Linked DNA regions of Caenorhabditis elegans. The protein of the gene in region 1 interacts with the protein of each later gene in a pairwise test. Each region holds a gene or a part of one and is shown on either strand. Other genes may lie near its edges.

Region 1 (12,219 bases):
AAGGAATAATGTTCCGTGGAGCGCGTTTCCAACATTGTTTCTTTGGGCAAAATTAGAAGAAAAGAGGCAGACTTTTAGCGAACATTTTCTGAATTTGAACGAAAAAAAATGAAATTAAAAATATACATGATAGTCGAAATAATATAATTTCAAATGAATTGATGTAAAAACTGTTAAAATTATCTCGGAGAACTCAAAAGAATAATTAAAGTAGCCATTGTCAATCTTAGTTTTACATTTTTTGGATCGAGAATTTCGGAAATCGAATTTTTTCCCAGTAAATTTATTTTTAAAAAACGTATTTTTCTTTACATAAAAATTTAAAAAATTATATTACTGCACAGAGGCCCAGTACTCCCGCAAGATTATTGCGAATTCTTCAAATAAACACAGAATGCTTTGTATTAAATATTTTACTGTTTGAGAAAAAAAAACTCTGGAAGTAAAAAAAAAACATCGCAATTCTGTAAAAATAAGTATTAAAAAAATGAAAAAAAAAAGCAAAAATCAATTAAAATTCGAAAACAATCTACCGTAGCAGCTGAAATCGTGGTGAGACCAATCATATACATAAGGATATGTCCCTTTGACACAGTACTTCCTCTCGTTTTCTTTCTCTCGATCAGATCTTGTTTTTCGTTGTTTTTCTTATTTTCTTTTCATATTTTGCTTGATTTTTTTATTATTTTAAAACAAAACAGTTTATTTGACCCATAAAGTGTATGTTTTTGAATAATTCTTAGAATTATTCATTCTCCCGGACAAAAATCGGGATCTTCAACAATTACTTGTCTACTTTCGGGAACAATTCGATTTTTTCACGTGTCGTATGAACTCTGGCTGTTGAAAATCATCATCTTCAAGAGCCAGGGTTTTTGAGAATTGATTTTGTAGTTCCGTCGAGTAAATCCATTCGAAAATTGAGCAGCCGATAGTCTGAACATCGATTATTTTATCAAAACGTTCTTTTCTTTTCAAATTACTTACGATAAAAAGCTTATAGTAGAAGATTATAAGAAGAATTGCTAGAAAAACAGTTTCCATTGGAAGTAATGGTTTTTCGTCGGGCACATCTGTTCCAATGTCAGCGTAAGAAGCGACAACTGAATTTTGTTTGATTAATGAGGAGATTTTATATTTTTGCTCCTAAATAACATCTAGAATGACTCACTCTCAAAAAGTTCTACGAATCTCTTCATCGAGAGGAATAATTGTGCAGGTGAGTGAATGTGTATGTGAATATTTGGGAATATTTTGTGCAAGGACGACAGGCACAACAAGCTACAACAAACCAATTTAGATGCGTCTGAAAACCGGGAGAAAAGATGGAGAAAAGAGAAAAGAAATGAAGAAAAAGGCGGCTGAGGAAAATAGAGACAGCGCCTCTTCTTCTTCTTTTCGCCTTTTTCTTCTCCTGCTTCTACTGTTCTTCCTCGTCCATCTGAGCCATACCCTCACACGTAGGCTCGCCATGTGTGTATAAAAATATGCAGATATGAAAAATGAAAAAGGAATACGGAGAGATAGATTTATATGGACTACATTTATGTTCTAGATAAACTGGGATGTTTTGCATGCTCTTGGGTTAGGTACTATAGTTGAACACAAATGAGCCATTTAATTCATCGTTCCGCTTCATCGCTCATGCACACTAGGTTCGGAACAAATGGAGTAGCTTCGAAGATTTGATGAAAGCCGAGTTTAAAACCCGAAAAGTTAATTTGTCAATTCGAACACATCAACTCGGTCTACACGTATCCGTTTTAACCAAGAAAGTTGAGCGGTCGAATTGGACGAACAAGTACAGTAATCTGGGTTAGCATACCACGTATGGGATGAATTCATATGAATGTGGTACACCGCTGTCATATTACATATCCACAGTTTTATTAAACACAATAAAATATGAGGGAAAGTTCCAATTTATTCCCAAGAGTCAAGTGTTTGGGATCAATAGGGAATAAATATCCTCCCTGATTTTTCACAGCCGCATTTTTTCTAATGTTAATTTTTATTAAAACAAATTTCAGAAAGCACCGCAAAGAAAATTCGTGTACTGAAAGACAAGAAATTCAGAAAAGACGTGTCAGCATATTTAATTACCCTATTTTTGCACCATCTCACAAAATTTTGAAATATTATTTTCTATCAATCGATATATGATTTTTGAAAATCATTTTGCTTACCTAACCCTAACGCAAGTTTTACAATTTTTGAATCTACCTTGCGAATCTATTTCTCTTCTCATCGCTTTATCGACGTCGTTGTCATTTTTAATTATTTTATTTTGCAGGATGGTTATCGTCACCGACTCAAACTTCCTGGATGCTGCAGGTACTTTGCGCAAAGGACTTCTCTACTGTGATTTTGTCGCCATCGACTTCGAATTTCTCGGTCTCGATGTGTCGGCCATTTCTCTTCATGACACTGTTGAAAGTCGCTATCAAATTCTTCGTGACAATGTCATCAAGTATCGTCCATGCCAGCTAGGACTGACCTTATTCAAGCAGAAGTCAAATCGAGCGTGAGTAAAATTGTTTTAAAGTTTCAGAAGGAGAGAGTTGCTGTCATTCAGATATGTTTCCCCTGTCTTGAGATAATTGAGATTACAAATAATTAGAAATTAAAGATTTTCTGCTAGATTCCAAATTTTTATTTTTTATTAACTCATATAAATAATGAATAAGGACAAAAATGTATTAAATTTTATTATTACAGATACAAAGCCGACACTTACTCAGTTCCGCTGTTTCAACGGTTTGGTGATAATGATACAAGCATCTCGTTGCCGTCGATGCGCTTCCTGGTCAAGAACAAGTTTAATCTCAATCAAGTCTTCATGGACGGCGTGGAGTTCTGCACTAGGAAAGAGTTTAAGAAGTTCGAACGTGCACTTTTAGCTGGAACTGCCGCAAGGTGGCGATTATTTTCTTCAGTATATTTCATAAATTTATCCATTTTTCAGCTATCTCAGCAGAGAAGTCAAATCTCAAATCGAACTTCTCAAAGTCATGGTTCACGAGAAATGCTATCAATCCACTTCTTATCATATTACACACCGTACCGATGAGCCAATGCAAAAGATTCCACTGAAAATGAAACCAAATTCGTCTGTTTCGCTTCGAATGCCACGGAACTTGAGCAGTGTCGAGAAGTACATGATAATCTACGAGCTAACGAAAGCGTTCCCGCAATTTCTGTTCACTTGTGACGAAAAACAACAAAATTTGCATGTGAAAAATATCTCCGACGATTACCTCAAGGAAAAGGACAATCTGGAAAGAGCTAGAGCTCGCTGTTCAGAATCAGTTAAAGGAGTTTCAGCAATCTTGCAAGTTGTTCATATGACTGGAAAACTCGTCGTTGGCCACAACAGTCTTCTTGATGCCATGTATATGTATCATTATTTCTTCTCGCATCTTCCTGCAAATTATCAGATGTTCAAAGATAAATTCAATGCACTGTTTCCGAGAATTATGGACACGAAGCTTCTTGCTCAAGCTCTTCGTTTCGAATTGCCTGGAGTCGGTGATTCTTTGGAGAATCTCGGTGATTATTTCGGTTCCGATAAGTCCGATAAAACTGTTCCGCCCGAGCTTCGTGGGTTTATTGAGCCATGGATGAACCCACTCGAAGATGAATCAGAGAACGTGTACCATAATGCTGGATTCGATAGTTATGTCACCGGAGAAGTCTTCTTGAAGCTTGCTCACATTTATATTAATAGAAGGTGAGTATTTTTAAAAATTATAATAAAGCATTAAAAAAACAATTGTGACCTTGAAATATTTGGGCGGAAAAATTTAAAAAAAATCTTAAAAATTTTTTTAAAGCCTAAACAAAAAAGTCGATAACACGACATGTTTTCGTTGACAGAAGTACTGTAGGATTACTGTAGTTTTGTAAAAATGAGTTTTTGTCTTATTAAAGAATGCTGGTTTGATCTTATAAGGTGGATATGGTCGGGGTAGACTGTAGAAGTAGTACTGTAGGACTACTGTAGCTTCGGGAAAAATTGATTTTTGTCTTTTAGAGGAATATTTGATTGGTGATAGTAGGGAATCGGCCAGAAAGCTTCTGAAAAGTTCTGTAAAAATTCGAACAACGTCTGAAAAACTGACAAGTTCTAAAAACTTTGAGAAACTTTTGGAATTTACTGAAAAACCGAAAAAAGTTACTGGGAGCTTATGGAAATTCGAAAATCTTCTTGCAAGAGATCTTGGTTAATTTTAAACATTTGGAAAATTCAAGGAATTCTGAAACATAAAAATTTTTGAAAAAAAAAACAAACTACAGTAACTTTCATTTGGAGTTTTTCGAAGAGTGATGTAAAATTTTGGATTTTTTTTAAATTTCAGGAACAACTTCAAGAACGAAATCTTGGATTTTGATAGAATCTATCAATATCTTGAAGCTCCGATTCTCAACCGTCTCCCCTTCCAACTTATGGATGTTGGCTGCTGCTACCTGACCGGTGATGATTCCAAAGGATTCCGTCCAGATGTCATTACAATAGTTCGAAGAGATCGTGTTGCAATCGAGGAGGACGAGTTCAGATATCTTGAGAAAGCGTTGGGAACTCTCATGGCCACGTACCAGTTCGACATCGAATGGTCGAAAAACAAGAAGGAACTCTTCCTGGCCACCAATTCACCTGGCTCGTATGTTTAAAGTAGTACATGGCTTTAATTATATGAACGATTTCCAGATACGCATTCCTCTGCGAGAAGTTCTCGAACGATTCGAGTCTTGCTCCCCTGGATGAGCTGGATAGCGGAAAGAAATGGTAATTTTGAACATGGTTTTTGTTAAGTTTACAAGTTTGTTTATTTTCAGGACCTTCGAACAGCGTCAAACAGCGTGGAGAAGCTTCAAAAACCGAGGAGTTGGAATCGGGATCAATGCGAAAAGGTTTTTTGTTTCAGTTTTAATCATGAATCTAATAACATTTTTCAGAATCCGAGCTCAAAACCAAGCCACCAAGATTCAAAGAGCGATGGAAATATAACTATAATGTCATATGTTTATTTCAATTTTTTTCAATCATAAATATATGTTGAAAACTTTATGTTAATTAGTTCAAAGAGAAGGGAAGGTTTACTTGAAAAATATATTAACCCGATAGAGAATACCCGTAATTTGAAAGGTTTAGAGAGCACAAATATTTAAGAATGTTTCGAACTTTCATGAATTCGTTGGTCTTCTCGAGGAAGATGATCGAGTGGAAGGTGAAAGATCGGATTTTCGAATAACGCTCGCTTGCTGGAACATTGAAAATATTATTGTAAAGTTAGCATATTTTCAGAATTCTCACCTTGCTTCTATTTAAATCAAATCTGGAATTATCCAGAAGTTGAGTTGTCTCGAAATGAGCTTGAGAATACCCAATCGGACGTTTTGGGGATTTACCACAAAAATTGTGCCCCAAATTTTTTCGAAAAAGTCGAATGAACACATTGCGATACTTGCTTCCAAAAATTAAATAAATTATAATTGTCGACGCCCCGTTGACGTTCACCAGAAATGTTGATAGCTGAAAACATCAAGATTTTTTTTGATTTTTTACAGTTGTTCGAAATTATATCCAGTAACTAACCTCCACCAATAGAGTTTCTAGATCAGCGAAAAATCTGATACTTGATAATTCAATAATATTTGTGGCAAATGCAATCAGGTTGAAGAGTAAAAATTCGGTTGTGATTGCCACAAGCATTACAGTCACTCCATTTTCTTTTTTGTCATTTTTCACACTTCCATTGTTAGCTCCACCCATGAGAATTCCATTTCCTTTTTCTCCGTTTTCAACTGGAACAACTGCCGAATATCCATCAATTTTTGTAACGATTGTGTCAGTGGGTACTGTAGAATCACTTCTTTTTGATCGAGATGTTGTCATCGCTTTTCTCATTCTGAAAATTATTTCAAATTAATTCAGCGAACAGCACGCGATGTCAGAAAGTCTCATCGCGGTTTGATCTACAAAAAATGCGGGAATTTTTTCCCAGAAAAATTGTGACGTCAGCACACTTAACCATGCGAAATCAGTTGAGATATCTGCGTCTCTTCCCCCCGCATTTTTCGTAGATCAAAGCGAAATGGGACTTTCTGACTCCACATGGAACAGTTACTTGATTTGATAAACTTTGATTATTTGGTATATCAGTTTTGAAACTGTGAAAAATTGTAACTTACTTATATGACTGTTTGAGTGTTGCAATTATTCGAAGATTAACATAAGTTAAAATAGCAAATGGTAGGAAGAACATGACAATTGTATAAGCTGCATTTCGGAAAATAAGAGTATACATACGATTCATCATCAGAGATGTTGGATAAACAACAGACGAGTTTCTGGAAAATTAAATAATATGAAGACAAATCTTAGAAATCATTATCACGTACGTCTGTCCTTCAGTTCCAAATGAACATGGCTGAGCATGAAGTTCAAACCATCTACTCGCATTGAATACAAATGCAAAAACAATTGCAGCCACTATAACTGCTTTCACTGCATTTGAATTGGAGATTCGACGGATCTGCAAATATATACTTGTTTTACAACTTTGTTTTTTTGGAACTTACCAAAAAAGGGTGACAAACTCCAAGATATCTATGTACTGAAACAAGAATTGTAACATAAACAGACATTGTCAGTCCAATTTGTGCAAGTGGGTAGAACCATACAATCAATTGAACAGATAAGTCGATGTACTCTGGATTGTGGGAGTTTTCAGCATAAACTGGAACTGAGAACACGAAGATTGATGCGACAAGTGTCAAAAGGTCGGAGAAGGAAAGTGCTAGGAAAAACCAATTAACTGTATGATTCCGCATCTGAAAGTTATAAAAAAAAAAATTTCATATTTAATCTTATTAAATTGAAACTTACAGATTTCTGTGAGAAGACACATATGTTAATGGAGTTTGATATGATTCCAAATAAATAGACAAATGGAAAAAGGTACGATCGAAATAGGAACTGTGCGTGTGTAAACTCGATTTCTTGACATTTATTGAACTCATCGTCCAATGACATGCCACTCTGAAAATTATAAAAATTATGAATTTATGCTAACAAATGTAAATAAGAATATTCAGCTTATAATAACACAATTTTTATCAACTATAAAATCTGTTTTACAAAAAAGGTGAGAAAATCTTACACTCCAATGGGAAGAAAGGGCACTGCGACGACAACTATTTGTTGCTCCTGTCGTGTAAGCAAATAATACGATCAGAAGACAATTCATGAAAAACACTTCCGCGGTATGATATATTATTTATTAAGGCTAATTGTACTTTCAAACCCTAATGAGTGCTATAGGACAAGTAATTTATCAAAAATCAGCTTCAGAGTCAACAATAAATTATTAAAGTTGGGATTCTATCTGCAGAACTCTTAAGGGGGGGGGGGGTTCCAATTTTATTTCGGCTGATAACTTATGGGCAGTTAAAAAAATATATTTGTATAGACTGTATTGAATTTGTCTAGGAAGAATGAGACTAGTCAACTTCTAAACCTAGATTCTGTAACTACCCTAAAAATAGAAGATGCATCGGGAAAAGTGTCACAATGTGATAGATATGGTCAGTTGAAATGAATATATTTCCAGTTTTTCCTAGATTTGGGTAATTATCCACGTAACAATCATCAAAAATCCACAAACCGAGAACAAGAAAAAATGATCTTTGAATGTAAAATGATTGTTCGGTCTTTCTTTGATTAAGTAGAAAAAGATGAGAAGTGAGTACTATTACGCAAGAGAAAACCATTGAGTGCTTGGAATGCAAATACACTTTAGTTACAAAAACAAACTTTATTGACAAAAACAAACACTTTTTTGCACCACCAAAATGCACTTATGAATGCACAAATGCACACTGTTCGTGAACTTTGCCGATATAGTTTTTGAATATTTATTGCGTGGGATCCAACATTTCAGATGGAAATTTGAGGAGCATGTTTGTTCTCATTGAGGGATTATGGGAATTCTCAGTAAGTTCTAGACAGTTTCAATAAGTTCATTCTATGAGGAAGTTTTGCTTTGAGAAAGTTTCGGAGGAAATTTGTCTGAAATTATCTAAAATCTGGAAGAACTACAAAGTATTTTTATGGAGCATTCTTGAGATATAAAAGAACTAGGCAGAACCAAAAAAACACAAAAAATTGGTTGCCATTTTTTATAGAAGGTCTCCACGACAATCTTCCGTGAGAGGACGAGAACGAGAAAAATGGGTCAAAACAAGAAAATGAACGGGCCCATAGAAGATTCACTCCAGTCTAAGAATGCAAAAAACGTGGATAAATAGTTTTTATTTTCTGTCCACTAAGTCTTTGCACTTATTTTTTACTAATTATGCGAATTTCATGAAGAAGCCAGACTTTTTCAAATAGAATAATTGAATCAGGAAGTAGTCTTGAAAAAGAAAGAAGTGAATGAATATTTAAAAAAAACAATATTTAATACTTCAGATCTGAAATTTGAATTTTTCAAGACCGGATTTGTTTTTGAATTTTTCAAAACTTTCTTTGTTATTAAAAATATCTATTTTTAAAATCGAACTAATTGTGAGGTTAAAATATTCCATTCTCAATCCTGGTGTTCAAGAAGTAGAAAAGCAAGGAAAACAAATGGGTGGGCTCTTCCAATCAAACATGATCTAATTGAATTGAGAGCACAAGAGAAGAAGAAGAGGTTGCAATGTGTGCATACTTCTGGAACAATGATGGGTGGAACACGTCACATAAGAGACGTGACTTTACGACAAAACTTTTCCGCATTTTCCAAATATATTTACTTATCTAAAATTGGAATCTAGTGCAACAGAATACATACGTAAGAAATGTACGATTGAAGAACAACTTATCATATTTTTTTTAAAGAGGAGGGCATTTGATACAATGAATATATTTAGGTGTAAGACTACTGAAAATCACCAACTTGAAAGTCTACCTTAAATTTGAAATTACTAGATTTTCATTTTTGAACATTGAAAACTCCTATCTTAAATTCGAAAATGTAATGATCGTAACAAAAAACATGATTCTTGTATTGAAGTGAGTTTGAGTTTCCAACAAGAAACATTGTACATATCATTTTTTCATTTTTCAAAACAATAATTATATTCAGACCAAAAAAAATCAGTATTCAGACCTCATATGAAAGCCCCACGGTTTGACTCCTGAAAGTTATAAAGTAAGCAATTTTCAGAAGTCACAATAACAGTCGAATTCAGAATTCTCTAATTTCAGGCATGTCAGAAAATGGTTAATATTTTGACTCATATCACAAGATTTCTGAAATGTTCCAATTTGTGAGTCAAATGAAGTTCACATTCACAACAAATCCTATTCAGAACACATTGACAATGCTGTGGGTGTTTCAGGTGATAAAACATTATGTATTAGAGAATAAGAAATGCATTGTGTCCTGAAATCTAGATTTTCTGATTTATTACGTCAAAAATTAAGAATATTTGCTGAAATTTCGCAGAAGTAAGAAAACTATCGGAAGCAAATCCCAATCCTGGGAAGAAAGAATACAAATTGTAGATGACTGAAATGAATTGACACAAAAATTGCAGCGTGTTCAAAGTGAAAACAAAAAAAAGAATCTCTGTTCCTTTTCACATTTTTGTGCCTCTTCGTTTAGATTCACATGTGCTCCGCTCTCTACGCAAAATTGTGGTTTAGCTGTGTGTATTTATCCTTGAGAGAACAAGGCGTATAAACCGTAAACACTGAGTGAAAAAGCTCATCTAGAAAAAAAAGACTGCGAGTGTCGGATAAAAGTTTTGAAAAGTTTAGTTTGCAGTGAAAGACAGGTTTAAAAACGTTTCCGTCTGCCAATACAAGACTAAAAACTTGACAATTTATAATTTGTGGGTGTTTTAAGTAATATAATGTTTTACTTACAATTAGGAATATAAATTAGAACGTGAAAGTACTAAAAGGTTAATTAGATCTAGGGTAGGGTATATTTTTGATTTTAGCGCATTACCTAGACTGCATTAAAAAAAAATTAAATTAAAATCTACCTTTGAAGTTGAGAGCTTTTACCTAGCTATCAAATAGGTTTGTGAGCTTTTCAGATAATTTAGAGCTAGATAGATAATTTCCGGAGTTGCCGAAAATTCATTGGCCGAACCAAAATAGCCCCACACCTTTGATTTAAGGATACCTAATAAACGTGATGTTTGAGAAAAAGGTTCTATTTTGTGAAGAATTCAACCATAATAATTCCAAGAATGATCAAAAAATAAAATGGACATGAAAATAACTCAAAATAGCGAAAATCGAGGAGAATGCAAAAAATTCCAAAACTTCTTCTCCCATCCGGCTTTTCCGTTTTTCAAAAAGCCAGGTGGTTTGAGTGTTGTTATGGGTTGTGTTCACCCTTAAACTAAACCTATAAAACGACATACCACTTTAGCTACCACTTTTCAGAAATTCACGATCCGAAGAAAAAGAGCATCATAAAAAGGTTATGGTAGGTAAGGTTTATGACCAACTGAATAAAATTAAGGAAAATGAAGAAAAATAGTGTTCACAGAAGATTTTCAATTGGATTTCCGTATTTACGATGACGTAACTTTCTCTCTCGCTGCGTGTGAAGAATTTTCAATTCGAAAAAAAAATCTGCAACGCAGAAGAAAAAGAACTCGCATATTGTTTTTGCTCAGATTCATTCTTTAGTACACTACTTAGACTTTCAAAGCATTTGTTTTGATGGTTTAAAAAATTACATCTTTAGAAATATAGTAATTTACAAGTCAGTTCAAGATCAAGTACAACAAAATATATTTCCAATTGTTGAACTCGCGTTCAGGATATCAACAAAAAAAATAGAGTTTTCTAGAAATATCTAAAAAAGAATATAATTCTTAAGATAAATAAATTTAAGGGCTCTGTCGTTGGAACGCCAGACAGAACACTTAAAATCATAATAAAGACGTGATAAGAAGAGATCAGAGCAATAGGTAGAAATAGCGAACTCTATTCTGCAGGCATCAAAACTTTTGAAAATGCATTATTGTTTTATGTGGGAAGATTTCTACAAGTTAGTATACAGTTTGTATATCATAATTTGTTGATTGTTAGCTGTGCTGCAAAATTATGCTGTAGTAATTTTTTCATGAAAAGAAAACGAGATTGATAATTTTTGGTGCCTATAAGCTTTAATTCAAATGTATCAAATTTAGATGTTACAATGTCCAGTCCAGGAAGCCCAGGAAGTCCAAGGACCTTTAAAGATACATGAATGATGTGATAAATACGATAAATCTAGAGATGGGATCTTTTTACACTTCCTCATTTTATTAATTCAATCAGTGGTCACTTCACTAAACCCCTGAAAGCAAAATAGAAAACATGAAGGACAAAAGTTGGACGTCGGACAAGAAAACGTTTATGTTCGCGAAATAAGAAAGCAACAGATTGTTTTTTATTTTCAGACGAACACGGGGATTGAGTTTAGAAAATGACAACTATTTGAATTTCTTGAACTTATAGGTACAACTCACAGAAACGAAAACAACAGTTTCAAAAATTGCCGGAAAATAAAAATAATTGCCGGATAATTTGCCGGCAATTCTCATGAAAAAAGGAACACGCTATACAGTAATAGTTGACCCTTCGATGAATTTCTACAAAACAAAAACAAAAAATAACAGAGCATAATACGAATAATTTAACTCATGGTCGAAGATCTCGCATGAAAATAATATCGCCTTCAAAAATAACATAAATGAACCTGCTGAAAAACTGGAAAAACCTAGACATTCGTCATAAAATAAGACGAGAGAGAAGTGACTAAAGGAAAACAGAAACAAAAAAGAAAAAAAGGTGGAAAGCTACCATTAATTAGAATGTAAAAGGACGATTTTTCTTTGATTTTTCAGGAAAATGATAGAAACACTTTTGGAAAATTTCGAACAAAATGCAAGTTGTTTGCAATTATGATTGTCATGTTGTTCTTTTTTTGAAAATATTAATATTTATGTCAGTACTACAGAAAAAGTTAAATCCTGTTTTCTGGTTGTATGATTTTCAGTGAAAATCTGCAAAACCAATTGGGAATATTATAAAGTGCCGTAAACAAATAAAATTCGAAGAAACTATGGTATGATTTATGATTATAACAGGACATTCTAATAATTAAATATGGATTATCGTCAATGGGGATTTGATCTAAATGCACTTCTATTAATCTATAATTG
Region 2 (12,219 bases), on another chromosome or scaffold:
TGAGCTGCATGCAATCTAGAACATGTTATCTTTACAGAATTTACTGGTCAAGCCAGTGTTTTAACGGTATTTCTCTATTAGTAAAACATGCAATACTTATCTTATGACACATATTAAGTTGCTAGAGTATTAATGATAGAAGTGTCCTACTTATATATAAAATACGGTAATATCTGATACTTCTTAGATGTTATTAGGCAAAGACTGGAAACCAGACTAAATTGGAAATATGGCGTCCAGTGCTATTCGGATTTGGAAGAACAATTTTATTTTATTTTAAAAATTACATTAAACATTTTAAATTGTTTTTTTTAAATATAAATTAATACATACCTTCAGAACCACGTGTTTCGGTAAATTTGGGTGGCTCTCCTCGTGCTCCGCATCAAAATGAAGTTGTACTTTACGAATCATTGACATGTACCCTAACTCCGAGTTGTCCAAAATTCCACTCTGTAAACTCTAAAATATTTTTTAACATGTTACAAATCCAACTTACGGTTCCAATTTTCGGTTTTACCCCAATTTTCTTCTCGATAATTTCGGCAAGCCATTCCTTGGTAAGTGGAATATTTTCAATGATTAAATCGGTCATTTTCAACTGCAAATTGTGAATTTATATCAATGTTGAAGCAAAATTTAAAAAAAACAAAGAAACAGAAATAACTCAAAAAAGTCAATAATAGGCCATACATAATAAACTGTATACATTTCGGTGCTCAACGTGCATTTTATATAAAACAACCAGCCTAGGACTGAGTTGATAAGATAGTGATACTGGTTCGGAAGATGCTCGTGACCTACTTCGTTGTAGTATATGTGTGCACCAATAGATAATATAAGAAAATAAATTGTACTTTTTGTATTTTCACTGATAGTTTGAGTGCGATAAAAATATGGAATTCGATTTATCTCATTTTGGTATGCTAATTGGTATGGTGTGCTGTGGCAGGGATCCACAGAAAATTGCATCAAAGTAAAAATTTAATGCATTGTGAATTTTTCGATGTGGGAAATGAAAATCAAATAGCTTCAAAATTTTGAAAAAACTGAATATGCCCATTTTGACATAAGAATTTTAATTTTTTATCCCTTTTGAACACTGTACACTTGTTTTTTTGTCATGTTTTTACATTTCTCTGAGATTGTGTTCAATGTTTAAGTTCATAAGTCCTTTTAGCAGATTTATCAAAAGCCGGCTGGTCATGTCATAAGCATTTTGTAAACAACAAATATTCGTAGTGTACGTTGGGCACAGTCTAGCTTTTGCAATTTAATATTTTATGACTTGTGAAGCGATTATATTCTAGGAATAAGCGACTTTAGCATAATTTTCACAATTCTAATATCACAAAATTTCACATTATCAATTTCCGCTTTTTTGCAGAACGATGTACCCTATTGAAAAACCACAAAGTACACATTTTGTCCCGTTTTCTCGTCTCCCATTCTTCTTGGTGGCCTAACCTAGTGCCACTTCCATCAGCCGCCATAGCTCAGTCGGTTAGAGCGTGGGTCTAATAAGCCCAAGGTCGCAGGTTCGACCCCTGCTGGCGGCAAATTTTTTGAATAATTATTAAAAAAAATAACACAGTGCACCAAAATTCAGTGTCATCCGAATGTTCCAGGCCAGTTCCCAGCCAACGTGAAAAACTGTAAAATTCATTGATATGTTTTTTTTTCATCTAGAAATTCTGGTTTCTGACATCACAGTTTGTAGGTTAAATTGAACAAACGGTAATTGAAATTACTGTTGATATAACAGTATACATAGTTGATAGAGATTTTTTTATGAACAATCTGTAAATTGTTTCAGACATTTTAGTCGATCTTGTTGTTTTCAATAAATATTTTTTCGCACTGCCATGTCAAATTAGAATCATAAAGTACTTGTCCTTCTCACCACATTTGGAGTTTGTGATTAAGTGATGACATCATGTGTACCGACGACACGTTTGATCAAAATGTGGTGAACTGAACTGAAACATTAACTTATGTAATTAATTCAGCGAAATTTCTACTATTTTTGGAAACATATACTTGTATGTAGTCTGATATTTTAAAAAGGTAAAAAGTTTTTCATATATATAATTTCCAAATAAGGTGAATACTTCAGTAATTATCAATGTACATGTATTATTCCACACCAAGTACTTGAACAGCTTCCTCAACATAAGATTGGCATCTCGCAAATGATTCACTAATACGTGCTGGGTCAGGTTTTCCATCGGTCTGAATTGTTTTATATTGATGGTTAATGATGAATTTTCAAAAAAAAAACCTGAAGAATTGGAGAGCTAGACCAGATTCCATTTGAAAATATAGTTATCGATGCACCATAACTGAAACAGTGGTTGTACTCTTCCTGGAAAAATTATAAATTGTGTAACATATTTTGTCAATCACAAATTTTGATCAAACTGGAAACCGCGAAGAATTTTTCTTTTTAATTAAATTTTCCATACTTATCCATGTCTTACAACAAAAAAATAACTTACTGCCCAAAAAATAAAAATTAAAAATCGACTGATCCAGTTTAGTCAGCTCAAGTACATACTTACATCAACTTCTTCCCTGGTCCATGGCATTTTCACACCCTTCTCTTCCAACCCAGCGCTCAATTTTTCAAAATAATGATCCAACAGTGGTTTAGTCAACTTGTTCCTATTTTCTACACTGGTACCAGTCGACAAAATTCTATGGAGATCTTCCATGGGACTTCCCTGATGACCAACTTGCCAGTCAATAATTCCCGCAATATTGTCATCCTTATCCCACAAAATTTGGGGAGACCATAGATCTCCGTGAGTCAGGACGGATTTTCTTTCTGAAAAAAATTAAAAAATTTTAAAAAAAATATATTGTCGTACTTCCTTCCAAATATTCATCACTGAATTTTGTCATAAAACTTGGATCCTTGTCAAAAGTTTTCTCAATGTATTTTGAAATGATTTCTAAGCCAGGCGATTTTGCCATGTTCTCTGCAATGGTTTTGACCATCGCCTCGAAAAGATCAACGGTATCACGCATCTAAATAAAAAAGTTCTAAAAAAACTTTTTCAATAAGTTCAACTTACCGCAGAATCAGGAAGAACGCTCCTCCATTCTTCAGTTGTCAAGGAGAAAATGTGTAGGTTAACAATTTCATCAACAATTTTAAAAAGCTATAAGAACATAAATGATAAAACAAATTATGCCCTCAGGTTTACCTGATCTTTATCAAAACCGTCTATAAGATCATGAACAGTACAGTCCTCAAACATTTCCATTACAATAACTGGTACAGGAGCTTCTGCGTCACCGGCTTTTGCTGCACAGTAGATTACGGGAACTTTCATTGGTAGATCAGTGTCTGAAAATTTTGATGTAAATACTTTCGAAACCAGAACGCATTTACATTTTCTGAAAACATTATAGTAATTGCATTCTGTGTTGTGCATGAACAGTTCCATGATTGCAGCCGCGTTGCCTTTGTTAACATCTACACCCACACTACCAACACCTTCACCCAGCTTTGCACAACTCGCAATCTAAAATTAGCGACGTCTGGCTACTATTTTTAAACTGAACTATTTTTATTTTTAGGTTTAGAAATTATTTTTTAAAGTCAAAAATGCAGAAATAGTTCAAGTTTTAATTTTTTTAAATTACATAAAAAACATTATAGAGCACAGCATAAATCATTAGAAACACAATATAAATTTAAAAAAAAACTAAAAAGCTGACTATTTCTATATTAATTTTAAATTATCTTGCAAGCTTTTAATATTAGCTCTCACCTTTATCACTACATTTTTCGGCAGGTTTGGGTGTTTTAGCTCTTGTTCAGCATCAAAATGCAGCTGTACTTTACGAATCATTGACATGAATCCCAAATCTGCATTGTCCAAAATTCCGCACTGAATAACAATTATGAAAAAAAAATTCTAAGTGACTTGAAAAACAGCAAACATACCGATCCAACTTTTGGCTTAACACCAATTTTCTTTTTCACCAGATCAGCAAGCCATTCTTTTGTTAGCGGATAGTTGTCAATTATAAGATTGGACATAGTTTTCAGCAGAAGAAATTACCACGATTTCAGCTTGAAGTTACAATGATGTTTCTCCTTTTTATGTGAATAATTCACCATGTACCACTAATGAACTGATAACACAACTGTGCTCAATAATTATCTAAAAGTGACATGTGCTCCAATTGATACAGTTATTTTAAAAACGGCGATGCACATTTTTTAAACATAAATTTTGCATTAAAACCGTGTAGTTTATGGCGAAAACTACATTCAACATAAAAACAAAAACAAATTGAACACAAGAAGCTGCTGAACAATGTACATCATAAAAAAACGTAACTAGTCAGTAATCTGTAAGTTACCAACACTTTATAGAATCCCATTCTGATAATCCTTCTGTTCTGAAAACAGATAAAAACCGTCGACATGTTTTTTCTGAAAATAAAGTTTTAGTCCGCAAAACATTTAATAGAACATTTTGAAATGAATGTACAGTGTGCTTCAAAAAAATTCTAGCCGTAAGTTGTTTTTTTTGTTTATTTTATGGAATGACGTTAAAAAATAAATTTCTATCAACTAACCATTTGGGCTTTTTTTCTGATTAACAGTATCGCTTTGCTCCAGTTTTTTTGTAAAATTTAATAAACTTAAAACCGACATTTAAAAAAAAAGCAGTAGGCAAACACTCGAAATATGCCTGTATATATTTTTTAATTACTGTTTTTATCAAGCCATTTCAATAAAATGGTAAAAGGGATGGAACGTCCCGCAACCAACTTTGGAATTATTTGAAAACATGGTTGAATACATGTAAATAGACCATTACGTAAATAGTGACTTTTTAGAAGAACATCGAAAAAAATGTTTTTCTGAAATTGTGCAACATTTTCGCTGTGTCTCTTGCGAGTAATGAGTGGGAAACTGCCATGTGTTTTCGATTAGTCGTTTTGTGTGCAAATCTGAAAGGAACGCAAAACTTATAGAAAGAGAAGATATGAATAAAAAATTACCGTTTTGTGACAAAACCTTTCTATTCCACAATCATCAACTCAAAAACATCTGACAAATATTAAGCGTTCTTCGTCAGAAATCATAAAAAAATGCTACACTATTGCCGGTGTGTAGTATTTATAAAGATCACTGAACAAGAGTCCGAAAGATCGCACTACTTCTCTATGTCTGCATTGACAACATTTAAACTACAAATCACTACAGTTTTCAAAACGAATAGACGTAGAGTCTAGTTTTCTATCCATTTGACTAATTTGCTGATCTAGGCGATCACCCTATTGTATGAGGCGTGGACCTTTATTAGGAAGGAGAGTATAAATAGAGAGTCACTCTAAGAAAGGTATGAACTTAAAGTTACTTTTCAATAATGGGAGCTGTTATTGTGCTGGTTGTGCTATTTGTCACTGTTGCAAGGCAAATATCTGAAATTGGGAAATAAATGAAAAAATTGTTAGACTATACATGTATTTAATTTAACTTAAACCACTTAAAATTTTTCAGTTACTTCAAATGGATACACACATACTGGAAAAGACGTGGAATAAGTGGACCGGCAGGTTTGCCTTTTATCGGAAATTATTACGAGCTGGCGGATGTTAACAGGCCAAGAGGATATCTTATTCATAAATGGACACAGGTTTGTGTTTTTAATGGAGTATATGTATAAAAAACATTTAAAGAAACATTGAAAAAAAACGCTCAAAAACGATATTTTTGTAAAGCTTTCAAGTTTATTTTTGTGGATTCATAATTTTGTTTTAAAATTCAGTAGTCTTCATTTGAAATCCTCAGGGAACATTAAAATCTTATTTGCTATTTAACCACCTGGGTTTCAGACGTTTGGGAAAGTCTTTGGCTACTACGAAGGAGCTGTTCCAGTGCTAGTTGTATCCGATTTGGATATTCTACAAGAACTGTTCCTCAAGAAATTTGAAATTTGTGCGGATTTTGCTTTGTTTAAAATACATCATTAGAAAACGACAAAAGTTTGGAAAAAAATCCGTCCAAAAAATTCTTTTTGGTTGATCGTCAACAAAGCTTCAAAAAAATTTTTGTCGAAAATTCTAGATTTTTCATACAAAAATGTTGTAACATACAAAAAATGTTGCAAATCCCTCTAGTTTGAAATTTGAAACTTAAGAAATATTCAAAAAACTCAAAAATTATCCGAAAAAATTATATTTTCTATTATCATTTTAGTGTATCGAACTAAATTGATATATTTTGTATGTATAAAAATAATTTACACTTGGTTACATCATTTTTGTATGAAAAATCGAGAATTTTCGACAAAAATTTTTTTGAAGATTTTTTGACGATCAACCAAAAAAAAATTTTTTGGACGAATTTTTTTCCAAACTTTTGTCGTTTTCTAATGATGTATTTTGAACAAAGCAAAATTTGCACACAAACTTCAATTCAAAGCTGAAAAGAAGCGAGATCAGAAAAATGTCTGAAAAAATTGGCTCCGAGTTAGGACACTTCCTATGGTCAAAAAATTTTGTGACTATTGTCAATTGAAAGATCATGGTTGATAACATAAATTCCCAAAGTTTCATAAAAATCGATACGCAGCGAACAAAGTTATGATTTTTGACCCGGAACTTATTTGGAGACCTAATAACTTACATTGTTATTCCCAAAAAATTCCTTTTAACGCCTCCAGCGCAATAAAACGGCAAAAACATTCAATTTCACAGCCACGAGGCAAATTAAAACTGAAAACAAGTCTTTTTACTTGATCAGAAATCATAAAATAATGCTACAACATTGCTGTTTTGAAACATTGATTAAACTTAGTGAGCAAAAGGACAAAATATCATTTATCATATTCCTCCCGATAGGAAAAACTATAATTAGGCTACACAACCACCACAATTAACGTTTTCTGGTTTCTTACGCGTAGCCTCCTGTTTAATTTGCTGATCTTGACGATAACAATATTACAGGCGGCGCTGACCTTTATTGAGGGGACGGGTGTATAAATAACGGATCACCCTAACAGAATTATTGTCTTCAGTCTACGTCGTAGCGATGGGAGCTATTATTGTGCTGGTGGTGCTATTTGCTACTATTGCTGGGTATTAATTTTTATCTCAAAAAATTAGAAAAAAGAAACTCGTTCGAATGTTTCCTATAACTTTATATAGAATAGACAATTTTTATAACAAATTCTAAACGAAATTTTCGTTTTAGTTACTTCAAATGGATACACACATACTGGAGAAGACGTGGAATAAGTGGACCGGAAGGTCTGCCTTTTATCGGAAATTATTATGACCTAGCGGATGTTAACAAACCAAGAGGATATCTTATTCATAAATGGACACAGGTTCGTTGTTTTTCACCAAAAGTTGTTTTTAAATCAAAACGGGTCTCAATGATGATTGTTGTCCAAATCCAAATTTCATTGAACTAGGAAAATGCGTGTTCATATTTATCTGCTACTTTTTCCTGCACCAGTTTGCAACTAGTATTTGTAGAATTTAAAAAAAAGCTTCTGAACATCTACCTAGACACCTACCATGTTTGAGAAGATGAGTATAAAATGGAATTCTAGTGAAGAAATAATTCCCCTGAAGATGAAAACGCATGGTGATTTTAAAAATACATCTGCAGAAAATCAATTTGCAGAGGTGTTGTAAATAATTGAAATGCTAGTATAAGTCTTCATGTATCTAATCCTAATCTTCTTTTTTTTTTAGAAATTTGGAAAAGTTTTTGGCTACTACGAGGGGGCTGTTCCAGTGTTAGTCGTGTCCGACATGGATATGCTACAAGAATTGTTCCTTAAGAAGTTCGACAATTTCTACGCAAGGAAATCCACAAATCATATTCATGGAAACTTGGAATGCTCAAAGTCCGAACCAAGAATAAATTTGTTCACTTCAAGAGGAGCTCGATGGAAGCGCTTGAGAGCTTTGGCATCGCCAGGGTTTTCGGTGAAAGCTTTAAAGCAGGTATATTTTCACGTACTAGAATTTTTAGACAAGTTACAAGAATAGCTTCTATGATGAAATATCACCATCCTGTTGTTTTTTAGGTTCACGATGTTATGGAAGACAGTGCTATCAACATGGTTGACTTAATGGCAAAACACGAAGATGGAAAACCATTCAACATTCACGCGTAAGAAAATTGAATCAATTCTAATTTTTATCTTTCCGGTTTTCAGATATTTCCAAGAATTCACGTATGATGTTATTTCAAGACTTGCTATGGGGCAACCAAATTCTGAACTTTTCAATAATTCTGGAGTTGAAATCGTTAAATCGGTAAGTCTTTTTCCAAAATTAAAAGTATTCGAAGTTATAATTGTTATAGATTTTCATGAGGACACACCGAGTTCTGCCATGGTATTTTACAGTCTTGTTTCCTCAATTTGAACACTTGGTAAAACGAATGTTCTACAATCACGCAGCTGTCCAGGGTGGAGATATTGAAAAATTGTTGCTTATTTGCAAAAAAACTGTCGAAAGTAGAATTCAAGAAAGAGTGAGTCATCTTTTTATTTTTTTAAGGAATAAATTAAATAAATTTCAGGAGGAAAATGCAAAACTTGGATTTGAAAACGCGGAAAACGACTTCATCGATATGTTCCTTAACTATTATAGTGAACAAGTTGAAGATATTGAATTTGGTAGTACTGTAGAGAAAAAGGTCACAGCTGAAGATGTTATTGGAGCGTGTTTCGTGTTTCTACTTGCTGGTTTTGATACGACTGCAAACTCATTGGCTTACGCATCTTATTTATTGGCAAAACACCCGGAGAAGATGAAATTGGCTCAAGAAGAAGTTGATACCGTTGTGGGATCTGAAAATGTATCCTATGATGATATGACAAAGTTGAAGTATTTAGATGCAGTTGTAAGAGAATCATTAAGATTGTATCCAGTCGCTTGGTTGTGAGTTTTCTATCGAGTTGAATAAGTGGGAACTACAAGAAAAACTGTTAGATGTAGAGAAGAGTTTTTTTGTTCATAGTTTATGGGTTCAAATATGCTGATTTCTTTTTTTAATTTTTCAAAAAAAAAAGATAAATTTGGAAACTCACAAGAACTTTGATTGACAATACAAAATATAACTTTTTCAAAGAGGTCTACTAAAAAAGGCAACTTCATTAAAAAAAACGTGTACTTAGACAAAATCTCCACCGGTGCTATTCCGCTTTGAAATTTAAATTGATTTTGTCCTTGATTGATCTTGATTGAGCCATTACATGGAAATCAGCCAATAGAAAAATCTCACTTCCCATCTTAATATGCATTTCTGATAATGCATTTTTAATTGGTTTTATTGAATTAAGTTTTATAAAAATATTTGATCATAAAGTTAATAAAGTAAAACTATACAAAACACGGAATTTTTTTTTTTTAAAAGATGGAAACCAAATAGTTTTGAACTTTCAGCGCCTGCTCCCGGGAATGCGTGAAGCCTACCACACTTGGTGATATTTACATTGATAAGGGTGTGAAAATTGAAGCAGATGTTATGTCACTTCATAGAAGCAAGGAAATCTGGGGTGAAAACGCGGATGATTTTGTTCCAGAAAGGTAACCTGCTAAAATATTTTAATTATTTTCAAAAAACAAAAAAATTCAGATGGCTCGAGCCTTCATCCCGACATACCATGTCTTGGATACCGTTTGGAGCAGGACCCCGTCAATGTGTTGGAATGCGTTTAGGACTTTCCGAAGCAAAGACTGCATTGGCTCATTTGCTTCGAAGATATGATTTAGTCGCAGGAGTAGAAACTGAGGTACGGTTAACACTTCGTTTTTTTTTTATATTTAAGAGTTCTCAAATTCAGAAAGAGTTGAACATTCTTGGTTGCACAACTACATCGCCAGAAGCTGTTACGTTGTACTTGAAGCCGAGAATTTAAATTTCGTGAAATTAAACCGTTTATTATACTCGACCATTACTTGTAATATAAATTTATTGTGGTGATTTTTTAAAACAAAATTGTTATTGATTCTACATATTGTTAATGTTAACAGATTTTTTTGTGATAGTCTAAAAACCAGAGCTGCGCGGCTATTGGAAACTTTTGGCAAACGTCGGTGAAAATAAGTGATTCCGCTTACAGTTTATACAAGCATGGAATTTTTTTAGAGACCAGGAATTTTAATTCAGTATCTAGACGTACACCGAACACTGTGTGATTTTATGAAATACGCTTTTTTGACAATGATACAAGTTGCCAAAAAATTTATGTAAATCTCTCGGCTATGGAATGTTTTGTGAACAAGTTTATTACAGCAGATTTTTTTAACTGAAAAAAATTACCACAGTTATTCGAATTGATTTAGCTAGTAGGACACGCATTTTTAAAAGAGCTACAGGCACCAAAATCACATATTATGACCAATCGTAACACATAAAATAATTTTCCGATAGTTCATGATCATCAATTTCGACTCCCGTTGACGAATTGTCTTTGTACATTCGTACTTTTGGTTTTGCACGTATATTTCCCAAGATTCCGCGATTTTCGAGACGAATTCTCACAACCTGAAAGTTTTAAACTTTTTCTTTGCTAAATTTTCAAGCGATAACCCACTCCTTGTTCTGTTCCAGTTCGGATACTTCCTTCCACAAAATGGGGAATAGGTTCACCTGCATCGTTTAATGTGATTTCAATTCTATCAATGACACCTTTTCGTATTGCTACTCCATTTGGTATCGACTCCACCTTTGCACCCATAAATCCTTCATCACCATTATCCATCGTGATCACTTTTTTGGTTTTGCCATCGATGAGCCTTTCGGTGCTGAAAGTGTAAATATTATGAATTGATGTTACTTTAGTAAATAATCTTATATCTGAGATGCATTAGCAATTCCAAGATATCAGCAGAAAGTTTTCGAAAACTGTAAGAAATAGGCGCAACATCTACAAACAACGCATGTGCATAATGAAAATATGTTACCGAATGTTTTAGTAAATGGTAATCCTGCAGAATTTGTTTTCAACAGTTTTATTCGAATGATTGCGTAACTTCCGAGCAACAAGTTAGGCATATATAATAGTTTTGTAAAAAATACGAAACACTCACAGAGCCCCACCGGCGCCTCCGGACAAAATCGCTTTAACCTTCGCGGCAATATCATCCCATCCAACATTCAAGTACGTTGTAATTTTTTGTTTGCTAGCCGGCAACTTGGATTGACCTCGGGCATCCAGTGCTTGCAAGTGTTCCTCTACAATCTTCTTATCGGAAACTGTCAGCTGCTTTGCTTGCATTTTTGGAACACTTGAAGATGGCATTGGTTTTGATTTTTTTGGAACGTCGTGTTCATCTGATTGTTTTGTCAAATTTTATGGAACTTTTTTTTTTGAATTTCAACTTACGAATGTGAGCTTCAACATGTTTATCAGCAAGCATAGCCTTGTGAATGTCTTTAATGGTCTCCAAATTTGCCTTCATCTTTGAATCTGAATATATGTTAAGATAGAATCAAAAATCCAATGATTTAACAGGAAAACCAAGCTTACTTCCTTGTTGACCTTCAGTATTTTTCATGTTTTCATTGATTTTTTGATCAAATTGTTGTTTATCTTCAGCAGTCTTCAGGGTATCTCGATAATCGTTGATTTTTTCTTGAGTTGTCTGAAAAATCGTATGAACTTTTTCTGTATAAAAAATTCAAACTTACTTGTTGAATTAGCTTTTCAGCAGTTTGCAAGTTAACTGCTGCGTTTGTGAAGAATAGTAAACTGGTGGAGAATTGGAAGAGTTCCAACGGGGTTGGACGCTCTCCATTTGCTACCTAAAAGCTCGGAAATGTTTTGGAATAATTGCAAAAGGCATACCTTCTCAAAAATGTTGTATCCAGATGCAGTCAAGGCAATTCCAGATACAGCGAAATTTGCGAAAATTGCTGCATTTACTGTATATTCAATGGCTTGACTGACTTCAAGTCCTTGTGTAGTCATTACTGTGAGGTACTGAAAAAAAGTTGTACTACGCTAGTTTGAAAATCATTTAAAAAAAACGAACCGCAGATCCACCAATTGCACCAAAGGAGGCAAGCGACGCTGCCACCGCGAGCCAATCTACAAAGTTCTCTCGACTCCGAAGGGGGTTCACATTCTCGTTATGAATAACACGATCAACAATGTGATAGCCGGATCTAGCCATTGAGTAAACTCCAGTTCCAATTGCAGTGTAGAGAAGAGTTGTTGCAGC

What was found.
Region 2: the proteins of parn-1 (region 1) and cyp-13B1 interact in a two-hybrid assay, tested with the Caenorhabditis elegans proteins (one large-scale study listed by BioGRID).

The regions. Positions count from the first base shown.
Region 1 is NC_003283.11:12,685,330-12,697,548, reverse strand, and holds parn-1 (3'-5' exoribonuclease parn-1), read left to right. Parts: upstream 1-2,293; 5' UTR 2,294-2,294; coding exon 2,295-2,524; intron 2,525-2,718; coding exon 2,719-2,916; intron 2,917-2,965; coding exon 2,966-3,730; intron 3,731-4,358; coding exon 4,359-4,661; intron 4,662-4,708; coding exon 4,709-4,786; intron 4,787-4,836; coding exon 4,837-4,911; intron 4,912-4,956; coding exon 4,957-5,008; 3' UTR 5,009-5,063; downstream 5,064-12,219. Other genes in the region: K10C8.4 (uncharacterized protein), read right to left, coding at 793-936, 988-1,103, 1,172-1,199; frpr-15 (G-protein coupled receptors family 1 profile domain-containing protein), read right to left, coding at 5,185-5,262, 5,315-5,533, 5,597-5,909, 6,193-6,351, 6,403-6,536, 6,583-6,834, 6,890-7,042. UniProt on the Caenorhabditis elegans protein: Involved in transcriptome surveillance. Required for piwi-interacting RNAs (piRNAs) 3'-end trimming, which is important for both fertility and piRNA-directed gene silencing. Has 3' to 5' exonuclease activity in vitro.
Region 2 is NC_003284.9:13,404,460-13,416,678, reverse strand, and holds cyp-13B1 (Putative cytochrome P450 cyp-13B1), read left to right. Parts: upstream 1-7,035; 5' UTR 7,036-7,060; coding exon 7,061-7,107; intron 7,108-7,222; coding exon 7,223-7,358; intron 7,359-7,731; coding exon 7,732-7,986; intron 7,987-8,069; coding exon 8,070-8,155; intron 8,156-8,201; coding exon 8,202-8,301; intron 8,302-8,350; coding exon 8,351-8,521; intron 8,522-8,569; coding exon 8,570-8,931; intron 8,932-9,435; coding exon 9,436-9,579; intron 9,580-9,628; coding exon 9,629-9,785; intron 9,786-9,836; coding exon 9,837-9,911; 3' UTR 9,912-10,005; downstream 10,006-12,219. Other genes in the region: C29F7.2 (CHK kinase-like domain-containing protein), read right to left, coding at 1-15, 334-453, 500-595; C29F7.1 (CHK kinase-like domain-containing protein), read right to left, coding at 2,137-2,232, 2,282-2,365, 2,562-2,827, 2,871-3,030, 3,078-3,164, 3,210-3,352, 3,398-3,530, 3,780-3,899 and 1 more; F02C12.1 (ZZ-type domain-containing protein), read right to left, coding at 10,388-10,540, 10,590-10,800, 11,086-11,329, 11,382-11,465, 11,526-11,640, 11,687-11,800, 11,844-11,978, 12,031-12,219. UniProt on the Caenorhabditis elegans protein: Cytochromes P450 are a group of heme-thiolate monooxygenases. They oxidize a variety of structurally unrelated compounds, including steroids, fatty acids, and xenobiotics. May play a role in the regulation of lifespan.